2 linked regions of the Arabidopsis thaliana genome follow. The protein of the gene in region 2 interacts with the protein of the main gene of each other region in a pairwise test. Each region holds a gene or a part of one and is shown on either strand. Other genes may lie near its edges.

Region 1 (4,663 bases), on a different chromosome or scaffold from region 2:
GAACAATCGAGATCAGATCTCGGCGTTGAAACCGCCGTTTGATTTGGTTATTGCGGCGGATGTTGTGTATATTGAGGAATCTGTAGGGCAATTAGTGACGGCGATGGAGTTGCTTGTGGCGGATGATGGTGCGGTGTTGTTAGGTTATCAGATTAGGTCACCGGAAGCTGATAAGTTGTTTTGGGAGTTATGCGACATCGTTTTTAAGATTGAGAAAGTTCCTCATGAGCATCTGCATTCTGATTATGCTTATGAAGAAACTGATGTTTATATCTTTAGGAAGAAGGTGAAGAAGAATGAAGCTGAATCAGTGTCATGAAGCTAGTTTTGGTTCTGTAATGTTGTTGTTACATTGATATGTAATTTGTTTCTTGTTATAGAATTCGAATTATCTCAACTATTTATATTTTCTTAGATATTGGCTACTAAAAGATGACAAAGGCTGAAATCAAATTTTTGTAACGATTTTTTTAAGAAGTATACAAGTTTTGTTGTGTGTTTTTGAAATATATACAAAGTAAGTTCTCTTGCCCAAAGAAATATGTGAAGTAACCAACATTGTGTTTCTATATTAGACTGATAAATTTGTTCACAAATGTATTTGTAGAACTCTCAATTGGGTGATTGTATTTGCGAGTTTTATTCCACATCGTTGTGGAGCGGCTGCGGTTGAAGAACCAAAGTTCGGATTAGAAACAGCTCGAACAAGCCAATCCCAAATCAAACCGCATACATACGTGATATGGTATTTCTATAGTGAAGGAAGTGTCAGGGTATTACTTTCACCTTTCAATGTTAGCTCTCTACTCATATCATAATCTATGGAAGGAAAAACAAAATTAAAAAATAGAGGAAAAAAAATGATCTATATATCGGACATGTAATTTTTAGAGCACACATATTATCACTAGAGAATCCCATCTAAGCACATGTTATGATGTTTGTAGTAAGAGTTCTCATATATATATGTATATGGTGTAAGACACTGATGACAGTTCTCATATATATATGTATATGGTGTAAGACACTGATGACAGTAACCAAATATGCCGTTTTGAGCAGCCACATTCAACAATTTATGAAATATAATCAAAATCTAAATTGTTCTTGAAATCAAACTTAAACACTTCCATCTTTCTTTGTTCTTTGCATAATAAAGCTCTTCATGAGCTATTCAATTTCTATCTTAATATTTCTCAAGCTTAATGGGCATCAGTCTAATCTTGTTTATTACAATTTGAAGTTCATGATGATTAAAAGGGGGAGCTAAACCACATTTTCTATATGCTAAGGTCGTAGCTAAAGCATCTAGAATCATTTTCACTAAGAAATATATTCTCTCTTCCAAACTACACGTTTACTCTTATGAAGATTGGAAAATCAGAGTAAAAAAAAATGAATCGATTGGACGACAAAAGAAATTAATAAACAGGCTTAGTTATGGGCTAATTTGGATAATGGGCCTTTATAGAACCAAATCAGTGAAAACTACTATAAAAAAAAGTAAGCGGTTGGATTTATTACATGAACTGGGCAACGGTCAGGTCCAAGATCCAAACACAAAGCGACAAAACACAAGTCCAAAGAAGAAAAAATATATTTATTTTAAAATTAAATTTGATAAATGCAAAGCGAGAGAAACAAAGAGAGAGAAACGCGAGCCCTGAATCAAACTCCCTCGATTTTCACAAAAACCAACCCAAAGAAAAAAAAGAAAAGAATCTGACAATTCACCAAACAACTCTCTCAAAGTCTTAAATTAAAATTTTTTGTCAATCAATTCACAAACTCAAATATCTTTTTATTTTTCAATATAAATTTTCGAAGGAAAAAAAGAAAAGTAGAAAAAAATCATGATTATGAAAGAAACGAATAGTCAGAGGCAAAACACTGTTGTTGTTGTTCGTTCGTTCGTTCGATTGTTGTTGCTGTTCTTCTTCTCACGATTTCATCTTTTATTTCTTTTAATATTAAAATTGTTCTCGGTTTATATTAATGATCTTGTCGATATTGCGAGACTAAAATGTTTAATGTTTTTGATTTTATTTGTGAAATTCCCAATCACATTCTTAGTAGTAGAGAGAGAAAGGTTTTTTCTTTTTGGTCTTTTGGTGGACAGATTTTTATTCTTCTTTACTTCTTCTTCCTCTTTTTCGTCAAACCATAAACAATAATCCAAACCCTTTGTTCTTCAGATATGTTCTTCTCTTGACACACACCTAATCTTTCTCCACCAAAATTTCCGACCAAGTCTCATACTTTTGATCTGTTTTTCAACTTTCTCATCAGCCCAAGTAAGTATTTTTTTCTTACCCATGACTGAAATCAATTTCATTAGTTTTTGTAATTTCTAGGGTTTCCAATTTTGTGGATTTGGGGATTGTTGCAGAAAATGGAAGGTGGGTCTGAAAAAACAACACCTGAAGGTTGTGGTGGTGAGAGTAAGTCTAAACGGAAAATGAAAACTGCTGCTCAACTTGAAGTTCTTGAAAACACTTATTCAGGTTTGTTTCTGTCTTCCTCCATTGTTTTTATATGAAGTTTCTGTTTTGTGTTTTTATAAGTGAAAGTTTTGTGTTTTAATTTTATTTTCAGCTGAGCCTTATCCTTCGGAAGCTATAAGAGCGGATCTCTCAGTGAAACTGAATCTTTCCGATAGACAGTTACAGATGTGGTTTTGTCACCGGCGGCTTAAAGAACGGAAATCTACTACGCCGAGCAAACGTCAGCGTAAGGAGTTAGTAACTCCAACGGCTATGGAATCCTGGGAACCACCCGTCAATGCCGGTGATTTAGTGGCGGGAAATGAGCTTGATTCTAGAAGAGCTGCTCGAGGCAGTGGCGGTAGTGGTGTGACGGTTGTGAGGCGGTTTAATGAACCGTCTTCTGCTGAGGTTAGAGCTATTGGTTATGTTGAAGCTCAATTGGGAGAGCGGTTGAGAGATAACGGACCGGTTCTTGGAATGGAGTTTGATCCTTTACCTCCTGGTGCATTTGGCATGCCTATTGGTATATAACTACTATACAACACTATATTTTGCTTCTTAGTATCGATAGAAATGTTGCTTAATTAGCTATAATGTTTGCAGAGATGCCAAGCCATCGCAAGGCGACTAGGCAAGCTTTCGAGACCAACATATATGTCCGATCCGATGTCAAGCCTATCAAAGTTAGTTTTCTATTAGTATTGATTGTCTCATGATATGTTGTTGTTGATGCTTGAATCTTTTTTTGTTAGTTCTCAATGATTTGTCATTTTTACATTTTAGGATCATGTGAGGCCTATTCGTGAATATCAGTTCATTCCTGAGCTGCCATCTTCGAGGACTGATCATTCGGAACGAGTTTCTCCGTCACATCATTTTGGAGTTCCACTTGATGGTTCGGTTATGAGGGTTTCAGCTGTGTCTGCTGGACATCGGGATGACTATAAAATTTCACCTCAGATACCAAATTTGAATCTTGCAACTCATCAAGGGAAGCCGGGGCATGTCTATTCGCCTAACTTGGTCGAATATGACTCACCGTATCAGAAAAGCTACATGGATACTGCTGCACAAGTTCATGATGATCCTTTTGTGAAATCAGAGAGAGAAGTTGGTAATGAGGATGAGGATGATGATGCCCTGCAATTAGAGAGACACCGCAAGGTTTGTAAACGAGGTTTTCGTGCGAATTTTTTGTATTGTATAAATAGCTGGCAACTGTACTCATAATTTTTTCTCCTTTATATATTCATTGTAGAATGAAGAAGCAAGAATAGCTCGGGAAGTCGAGGCTCATGAGAAGAGGATCCGAAGGGAACTAGAGAAACAAGATATGCTGAGGCGAAAGGTCTTGTTCTGATTTAAGCTAAGCACATACGTTTTTAACTGTATTTGTTGTTTGTGTTCATTGTGTCAATTGGTTTTGCAGAGAGAAGAGCAAATAAGGAAAGAAATGGAGAGGCAAGATCGTGAAAGACGGAAAGAGGAAGAACGTCTTTTACGTGAAAAACAGAGAGAGGAAGAGAGGTACCTTAAAGAGCAGATGCGAGAGTTGCAGCGAAGAGAGAAGTTCTTGAAGAAAGAAACAATCAGGGTAATGTGAAATATGCGCTACATTTAAGTTTCTTGAGAACTCACTTGAAATGTTGTTTACTCATTAGCATCTCTTATTATGACTAGGCTGAGAAAATGCGACAAAAAGAAGAGATGCGTAAAGAAAAAGAGGTTGCCAGGCTTAAAGCTGCTAATGAGAGGGCCATTGCTCGTAAGATCGCAAAGGAATCTATGGAACTTATTGAAGATGAACGCTTAGAGCTCATGGAGGTTGCTGCGTTAACAAAAGGCTTGCCTTCAATGCTCGCCCTTGACTTTGAAACTCTACAGAACCTCGATGAATATAGAGGTGAATCAATAACTCATTTTGTTTTATTTTATCTATTTTTCTGATTCATTTCAGCTGTTTATGGGAATTGTATCTTACATTCATCTGATGGATTATATTATTTCAGACAAGCAGGCAATATTTCCCCCAACATCTGTAAAATTGAAAAAGCCCTTTGCAGTCAAGCCGTGGAATGGTTCTGATGAGAATGTTGCAAATCTTCTTATGGTGACTTTTCCCATCTTATCTGTCGTTAAATTTTTCCACTTTGATGTGAATCTCAATAACAGTATAT
Region 2 (7,983 bases):
AGATCTTGTTCCACCCAACTTCTTCGTTTCCTTTCAACGCTATGTACGCAACTCCTCCCGCCGTTCCCGTTGCAGACGCCAAAATCCCCAGCATCACCTGTTCATATATACATATTCCGGAATTATTACTTAAAACACCCTAATTAACATGGTATATGGAAGTTTCAAAGTTCCTTGTAAAACAAGTTACCATGTCTAACGAGGCTAGGTAAATGGAGAACTGTGCAGTGAACTCAGGTTTCAAGAGTAGAGAGATGGAGACAAGTGTTGATATGAGCGCATAGAAACTAGCTACCACGAGAGCAACCACGAAGTATCTGCATAGATATATAGCCAATTTAACACATTAAGTTTAAACTAGAAAACATTCCATGATTATGATCAAACATGGAGGAATTTAATTAATTAAAGAGACAAACATGAAAGCGGGCGAGTCATTGAACTCGGCGGAGACAGGAGCCGGAGACGAAACTCCAGGGAGCTGAGTCATCTCTGTCTGGTCGCTAGTCACCATTACTATAAGAGCAGTCAGAGTGGCGGAGAAAAGCAGAACTCTTGTTATAATGTCTATTTTACGACAATCTAGGAAACTGGCGGCTGATGAGGGTGGTGGTGTAGCCGACGCGGGAATCGGTTCAGATTTGCCAGTTTCAGGGTCAGGGTTCTCAGTAGACGCCATCAGATGATTCTATAACTCTTTTGTGGATTAGGTTGTGGTTAAGTTTGGACTGTGAGTTATGAAGTTGGCCGCTACATGAGATTATTTGTGAGTATATATATATAGATAGTCCCGGTGATGAGTTGTAGTTATTACCCACACGCCAAGAAACAAATTTATATTTATTTACACTATTCACTAATGTATATATACAGGAACATGAATATCAATTCATTTAATTTCTAGCTTGCATTTTTCATTGTTTAAAATTTCGAAATAGTTTTTGGAAAATTCACTAGATGTTGTAGTTTTATTTCAACGTTAACATATAATGTTTGTTACAACAAATTTTGCATGCATATCTATTTTTGATTAATAGAAAAATTAATATATTTCTATAGGTATAAGTTATGGATAATGTAGATATATACAATGGGAATGTGTTAGGCCAACCCCGGGAAGGTTGGTGAGGAAATTGGGCGACGGTAATCAAAAACAAAATACAAAAAAGGAGAGTAAAGAACAGTAGGAGTGGTTAACCAATCATCTGCATGAAAAAGGTAATTTTATACATGCTCTTAGGTATCACTTTGCTTTCTGCTTGTGGCTGCAAATCATGTAAATGGATATCTTATTTTATGTAAAAACATTAAACTGCAAGAAACAAATGTCCCAGTAGCATGACCACTTCAGCACTTCTCAAACATATTATAATGTTTTAACATGGATAAAGCTATTTCAGATACTAATCCAGTCGAAATAGAGTAGTTTTGTCTTAGCAAAATCACCAAACTTTATCTCTTGATACCAATACAGAGTGACTGCACAAGTCTGAGAACAACACAAAAAAAGTCAGACCTAACAGTAATAATATATATGAACTCATCATGATTTTTATTTCATATCTTAATAATACCTAACTGGTTTTAGTAAATCCAAATATATAAAATTAGAGATAGCTTTAACAAATTGGGGGCGATGATCAATCACAAAGATTAAAAATAGTGTAACTGGAGAATCTTTCTCGAGCAGCTCCAGCATAGTAATAAGTTGGGGAAAATATCGGGCTTGAAAGTGGGTCTTATGGGTCAGTCAGGCCCAACTATGATTAAACAAAGCCCAAATCGCGAATGTTCCAAAACAACTCTCTTGCTCAGGTGGCGGGTAATTAATTACTAATTCCCCGTTCGATGAAGCGACTAGTTACATCGTAGCCATATATTTATTCAGCTTAATCAACGGTTACAAATTACCCTGAAGCTTCGGTCGTTTTGCAATTTGTATCTAAAGTTTCACTTTTTTTTTAAAATCTTTATTTTACTTTCTCACAAGCGAAGCGAACCCTCGATCTCAAGGCGAAAGCAGATTTCGTAGCTTCCATGGCGAGAAATTCGAATTCCGATGAGGCTTTCTCGTCAGAGGAGGAAGAAGAGCGGGTTAAGGATAATGAAGAAGAAGATGAGGAGGAGCTCGAGGCTGTTGCTCGTTCTTCTGGCTCCGACGATGACGAAGTAGCCGCCGCCGACGAATCACCAGTCTCCGACGGAGAGGCTGCTCCCGTAGAAGATGATTACGAGGTAGCTGCAGGCTAATTTCGTTTTGATGGCTGTGATTTTTGAAATCTCAGTGAACTGCATCTTTTTTGTACTTGGAAAGTTGAAATTTCATTTAATGCAATGGATTCGGCGTTCGCGTCTTCCTTCGTTTGTTAGTTTTAGTCGAATTTTTGTTGAGTGAAAGTTCATTGAATGTCTGCGCATGGTGGCTCATTGTGGTATAAGCAGGACGAAGAAGATGAGGAAAAAGCTGAAATCAGCAAACGTGAGAAAGCCAGACTTAAAGAGATGCAGAAGTTGAAGAAGCAGAAGATTCAAGAGATGCTGGAGTCGCAGAATGCTTCCATTGACGCGGATATGGTGCGTTGTTTGAACTATATATTTCAGGTTTTTAGCTACTTTTCGTTCTCGTGCTTTTAAGTTCTGACGATTCTGAATCATTCCATGTGTTTTAGAACAATAAGGGAAAAGGGAGACTGAAGTATCTTCTGCAGCAAACTGAGTTATTTGCCCACTTTGCTAAAAGTGATGGATCTTCTTCTCAGAAGAAGGCAAAAGGAAGGTGTGTTAGATGCAATTTTTTCCTAAAATATCGGTTCATCATTGCTTCTAGCTTCAGAGTAAATATGATGAGCCAGGCCCTGATTTATGTGGTTTTAACTTCTACCTTCAGGGGACGTCATGCTTCCAAAATAACTGAAGAGGAGGAAGACGAAGAGTATCTAAAGGAAGAAGAGGATGGCTTAACTGGATCTGGAAACACACGGTTACTCACACAGCCCTCTTGTAAGTACCTGTATTTTGCTCTTTAGTCTAGGATTACTGTATATTAATCGTCTCTCTAGTCTCGAGCAACAAGTACAATATGATTGACATCTCCGTCCATTTGCGTAACCATACATATTTTTGTGACCTCACAGTTAGTATGTAGTATAGCGTAAATTACTGGGAAAGCTTGAGATTCATCTATTTTTCTTCTCAATCGACAGGTATTCAAGGGAAGATGAGAGATTACCAATTAGCTGGTTTGAACTGGCTCATTCGTCTTTATGAGAATGGCATAAATGGAATTCTTGCTGATGAAATGGTAAATAATTCTCCCCCAACGATCCAAGCAGAATAAGTTCTCTATATTCTGTCATGCTAATCATGAAACTTTTTTTTCCCTGTGGTCTAGGGTCTGGGGAAGACGCTTCAAACGATTTCTTTGTTGGCATATCTTCATGAATACAGGGGAATCAATGGTCCCCATATGGTGGTTGCTCCAAAATCAACACTTGGTAATTGGATGAACGAAATTCGCCGGTTTTGTCCTGTCCTACGTGCTGTGAAGTTCCTTGGTAATCCTGAGGAGAGGGTAAGTCATGAGCTGTCTGCCATTTCAGAATTTCATGTAAACGTTTATCCCAGGATTCTGAAATGTCTGCTAACTGATGCAGAGACATATTCGAGAAGACCTGCTAGTTGCTGGGAAATTTGATATTTGTGTCACAAGCTTTGAGATGGCCATCAAAGAGAAGACAGCACTTCGTCGGTTTAGCTGGCGTTATATTATCATTGATGAAGCGCATCGAATCAAGAACGAGAATTCACTCCTTTCTAAAACCATGAGACTTTTTAGCACCAATTATCGGCTTCTTATCACGGGGACCCCCCTTCAGGTGTTTGCTCTATCTTATTCTTGAATATTTGGACATTGAAGTTTTCTTTGTTAAGTTGCTTCTAATTGAATGTTGAAACAACCTTTCTTGTACGGCTCTGTTTGCACTCTTAACTTTTGCTTTTCCGGGCACTTTTAATATTTACCGTATAATGACTGTGTAGCCTGCTGTACTCATATTGTCCTCATATATGCAGAATAATCTCCATGAACTGTGGGCTCTTCTAAATTTTCTTCTGCCTGAGATTTTTAGTTCAGCAGAGACTTTTGATGAATGGTTTCAAATTTCTGGTGAGAATGACCAGCAAGAAGTTGTGCAACAACTGCACAAGGTATGGATGCACCCATTCCTTGCATTGAGTTTATTCTGTTCTGTGTGAGTCGTAGGTTAATTGCTTTCATGTATCTTTTTAGGTTCTTCGACCATTTCTTCTTCGAAGACTAAAGTCAGATGTTGAGAAAGGTTTGCCACCGAAGAAGGAGACCATACTTAAAGTTGGTATGTCTCAGATGCAAAAGCAATACTACAAGGCTTTACTGCAGAAGGATCTTGAAGCGGTTAATGCTGGTGGAGAACGCAAACGTCTGCTAAACATTGCAATGCAACTGCGTAAATGCTGCAATCACCCCTATCTCTTCCAGGGTGCAGAACCTGGTCCCCCATATACCACAGGAGATCACCTTATAACAAATGCTGGTAAGGCTAGAAATAAACTAGATCCTTCAGATTTCTGTGGAAGTTTTTTATGAAGCATCTCTATATTGTTATTTTAGGTAAGATGGTTCTCTTGGATAAATTGCTTCCTAAGTTGAAAGAACGTGATTCAAGGGTGCTGATATTTTCTCAGGTAAACGCTAATACAGAACAGCTGGATATAATGGTTTCTTACAGTTCATCTTCTCTTTTTCCTTTGTCTATGTAAAGTCTGAGCCTTATTCTTTTCTTTCCACATGTCAGATGACAAGACTTTTGGATATTCTTGAGGACTATTTAATGTATCGTGGTTACTTGTATTGCCGTATTGATGGAAACACTGGTGGTGACGAACGAGATGCCTCCATAGAAGCCTACAACAAGCCAGGAAGTGAGAAATTTGTTTTCTTGTTATCTACTAGAGCTGGAGGGCTTGGTATCAATCTTGCTACTGCAGATGTTGTGATCCTTTACGATAGTGATTGGTAAGTCTCTCATCATTGTCCACTGTAGTTTATGAACTTTCTCTTCACGTTTGACGAGTCTGGCATATTCTGGCAGGAACCCACAAGTCGACTTGCAAGCTCAGGATCGTGCCCATAGGATTGGTCAAAAAAAAGAAGTTCAAGTGTTTCGATTCTGCACTGAGGTTGGTCTCCTCTCCGTGAATTTCAAGTTAAAACAGCCATGAGAGGTTTAAAATTAATTATGTGTTGTTTGTTTACAGTCTGCTATTGAGGAGAAAGTGATTGAAAGAGCTTACAAGAAGTTAGCACTTGATGCTCTGGTTATTCAACAAGGGAGATTGGCAGAACAGAAAAGTAAGTGCGTTATACAGTGATTGCTTTATGCATTGGTTCATCTCTGACAGAATTGGTATTTATCTTAACTATGCAGCTGTCAATAAGGATGAGTTGCTTCAAATGGTAAGATATGGTGCTGAGATGGTGTTCAGTTCTAAAGATAGCACAATCACAGACGAGGATATTGATAGAATCATTGCCAAAGGAGAAGAGGCAACAGCTGAACTTGATGCTAAGATGAAGAAATTCACAGAAGATGCTATACAGTTTAAAATGGATGACAGTAAGGGTGTCACTTACCTACTATTTCCCCTATTAGGTTGTGTGAATATTGTAATGTTTTGATAATCTGTTGTTTTATTTGTTGTAGGTGCTGACTTCTATGATTTTGATGATGACAATAAGGTAACTTGTATATTTCTTTGCATAGTCTTAACTTTCATGTCATATCCCTAGCTTTGCTCTGCATTACTGATGATAAAATTTACTAATATATTTGTAAATTTGTTCATAGGATGAAAACAAGCTCGATTTTAAAAAGATTGTAAGCGACAATTGGAATGATCCCCCCAAGCGGGAGAGAAAGCGCAAGTAATGATTACTTCTGTCTTATACATTGTGCAGTCCTATTTTGCCAGTCTTCATATCTAAAAGAAACATCCCTTTTGTTTTATCTACTGTATCTTCAGCTACTCTGAATCTGAGTACTTTAAGCAAACATTGCGGCAAGGTGCTCCAGCTAAACCTAAAGAGCCTAGAATTCCGCGCATGCCCCAGTTGTGAGTACCTCAACAACCTCCATCTCATTGTTGAATGCCTTTTCCCTGTTTTGATGATTTTCTTACACTAGAAATCTAATTTATTGTCCCTCTTTCAGGCACGATTTCCAGTTCTTTAACATTCAGAGATTGACCGAGTTGTATGAAAAGGAAGTACGTTATCTCATGGTAGGCCTCTCTCAAAACGAAACACTTGATTCCTTTGATGTGCTTAAGAGCGAGTTTTTTTGCCTTATAAAAGCAACTTGCTTCTTTTTGTGCTTTTTGGTTTCAGCAAACACATCAGAAAAATCAGTTGAAAGACACAATTGATGTTGAAGAACCAGAAGGTCAAGCTTGTACCCACTTTGTTAACATGTACCCACTTTGTTAACATGTTTTTCAGCAAACCTATTACTGATTAAGAATTTTTTTGTTAGAAGGTGGGGATCCCTTAACTACTGAAGAAGTAGAAGAAAAGGAGGGATTATTGGAGGAGGCAAGTGAATATGTTTGATGTTAGAGTGGTCTTAGACATTTGATTTGGTAGGCTTTAATTAATTTTTTGTAATTGTCAATCTCCAGGGTTTCTCAACATGGAGCAGAAGAGATTTTAATACTTTCCTCAGGGCTTGTGAGAAGTATGGCCGCAACGACATAAAAAGCATTGCCTCTGAGATGGAAGGGAAAACAGAGGAAGAAGTTGAAAGATATGCCAAAGTATTTAAAGAGCGGTACAAGGAGCTGAACGGTAAGTAACACCTTTCAATGCTAAGTTATGCAGTGTTTTTACATGTTTCTAAGTAATTCCTACCTCCAAAAAGAGCTTATGCTAAGTAAGTTTATCATCTTTCCCTCTAAATATGTAGACTATGATAGAATCATTAAGAACATTGAGAGGGGAGAGGCAAGGATCTCTAGGAAAGACGAAATCATGAAGGCCATAGGGAAGAAACTGGATCGCTACAGAAACCCTTGGCTGGAACTGAAGATTCAATATGGTCAGAACAAAGGCAAGCTGTACAATGAAGAGTGTGACCGTTTCATGGTATGTCTTTTTCTCGTTTCCCTTTTTGCTGTTCTGTCTCATTAATTATATCATGAAGTTTTTGACTGTTGAGGAACTTTGGTGGTGAAAAACAGATCTGCATGATTCACAAACTTGGTTATGGGAATTGGGATGAGCTAAAGGCAGCATTTAGGACATCGTCTGTGTTCAGGTTTGACTGGTTTGTGAAATCCCGCACGAGTCAGGAACTTGCAAGAAGATGCGACACTCTGATTCGACTGATCGAGAAAGAGAACCAGGAGTTTGATGAAAGAGAGAGGCAAGCCCGCAAAGAGAAGAAGCTCGCGAAGGTAAAATAATGCAATATTTTCATGTATAAGGTTGTATTCTTTTGATTTGATTTCTTTAGGTGGTTAATGCTTTTCTGGTTTTTAATCTTTGAAGAGTGCAACACCATCAAAGCGACCTTTAGGAAGACAAGCAAGTGAGAGTCCTTCATCGACGAAGAAGCGGAAGCACCTGTCGATGAGATGAGATTATGTGTTTACGGATCTGTCGAGTCTTTGTTGTTACATATAGTTAAGCTAATGTTAAAAACATAGCAAATGGATTTCATTCTGCTTTCATGAATGTTTGTCCTGGTTTGACTTGGATTTAATGAAATGACTTAATTATAATTTTGTAGACTTCTCTTCCGTAAAGAAACTGAACAAAAGGATTTGAGGCCATTGGATGGCAACTTAGGCTGAAGCTTAAGCAAAAGTTATGAGTTTCTGAGGGATATATGAACAGACGATTTTTTCCACAATTTATTACTTCTTTGTTCAACGGTTGCATTTTATTTA

Evidence for each region.
Region 1: the proteins of CHR11 (region 2) and RLT2 interact in a protein complementation assay, tested with the Arabidopsis thaliana proteins (2 studies listed by BioGRID).

Annotation. Positions count from the first base shown.
Region 1 is NC_003076.8:17,780,780-17,785,442, forward strand, and holds the start of RLT2 (Homeodomain-like transcriptional regulator), read left to right. Parts: upstream 1-1,648; 5' UTR 1,649-2,294; intron 2,295-2,389; 5' UTR 2,390-2,392; coding exon 2,393-2,504; intron 2,505-2,595; coding exon 2,596-3,009; intron 3,010-3,089; coding exon 3,090-3,169; intron 3,170-3,269; coding exon 3,270-3,650; intron 3,651-3,744; coding exon 3,745-3,834; intron 3,835-3,915; coding exon 3,916-4,080; intron 4,081-4,166; coding exon 4,167-4,389; intron 4,390-4,495; coding exon 4,496-4,596; intron 4,597-4,663. Other genes in the region: AT5G44170 (S-adenosyl-L-methionine-dependent methyltransferases superfamily protein), read left to right, coding at 1-319. UniProt on the Arabidopsis thaliana protein: Transcriptional regulator required for the maintenance of the plant vegetative phase.
Region 2 is NC_003074.8:1,939,029-1,947,011, forward strand, and holds CHR11 (chromatin-remodeling protein 11), read left to right. Parts: upstream 1-1,944; 5' UTR 1,945-2,037; coding exon 2,038-2,235; intron 2,236-2,442; coding exon 2,443-2,574; intron 2,575-2,669; coding exon 2,670-2,776; intron 2,777-2,887; coding exon 2,888-3,000; intron 3,001-3,203; coding exon 3,204-3,301; intron 3,302-3,391; coding exon 3,392-3,571; intron 3,572-3,653; coding exon 3,654-3,875; intron 3,876-4,071; coding exon 4,072-4,206; intron 4,207-4,288; coding exon 4,289-4,571; intron 4,572-4,648; coding exon 4,649-4,722; intron 4,723-4,832; coding exon 4,833-5,053; intron 5,054-5,129; coding exon 5,130-5,217; intron 5,218-5,295; coding exon 5,296-5,389; intron 5,390-5,465; coding exon 5,466-5,660; intron 5,661-5,741; coding exon 5,742-5,776; intron 5,777-5,885; coding exon 5,886-5,962; intron 5,963-6,060; coding exon 6,061-6,150; intron 6,151-6,248; coding exon 6,249-6,318; intron 6,319-6,424; coding exon 6,425-6,479; intron 6,480-6,569; and 12 more. Other genes in the region: AT3G06390 (Uncharacterized protein family (UPF0497)), read right to left, coding at 1-97, 191-317, 420-679. UniProt on the Arabidopsis thaliana protein: Possesses intrinsic ATP-dependent nucleosome-remodeling activity. Constitutes the catalytic subunit of several complexes capable of forming ordered nucleosome arrays on chromatin. Involved in the formation of nucleosome distribution patterns.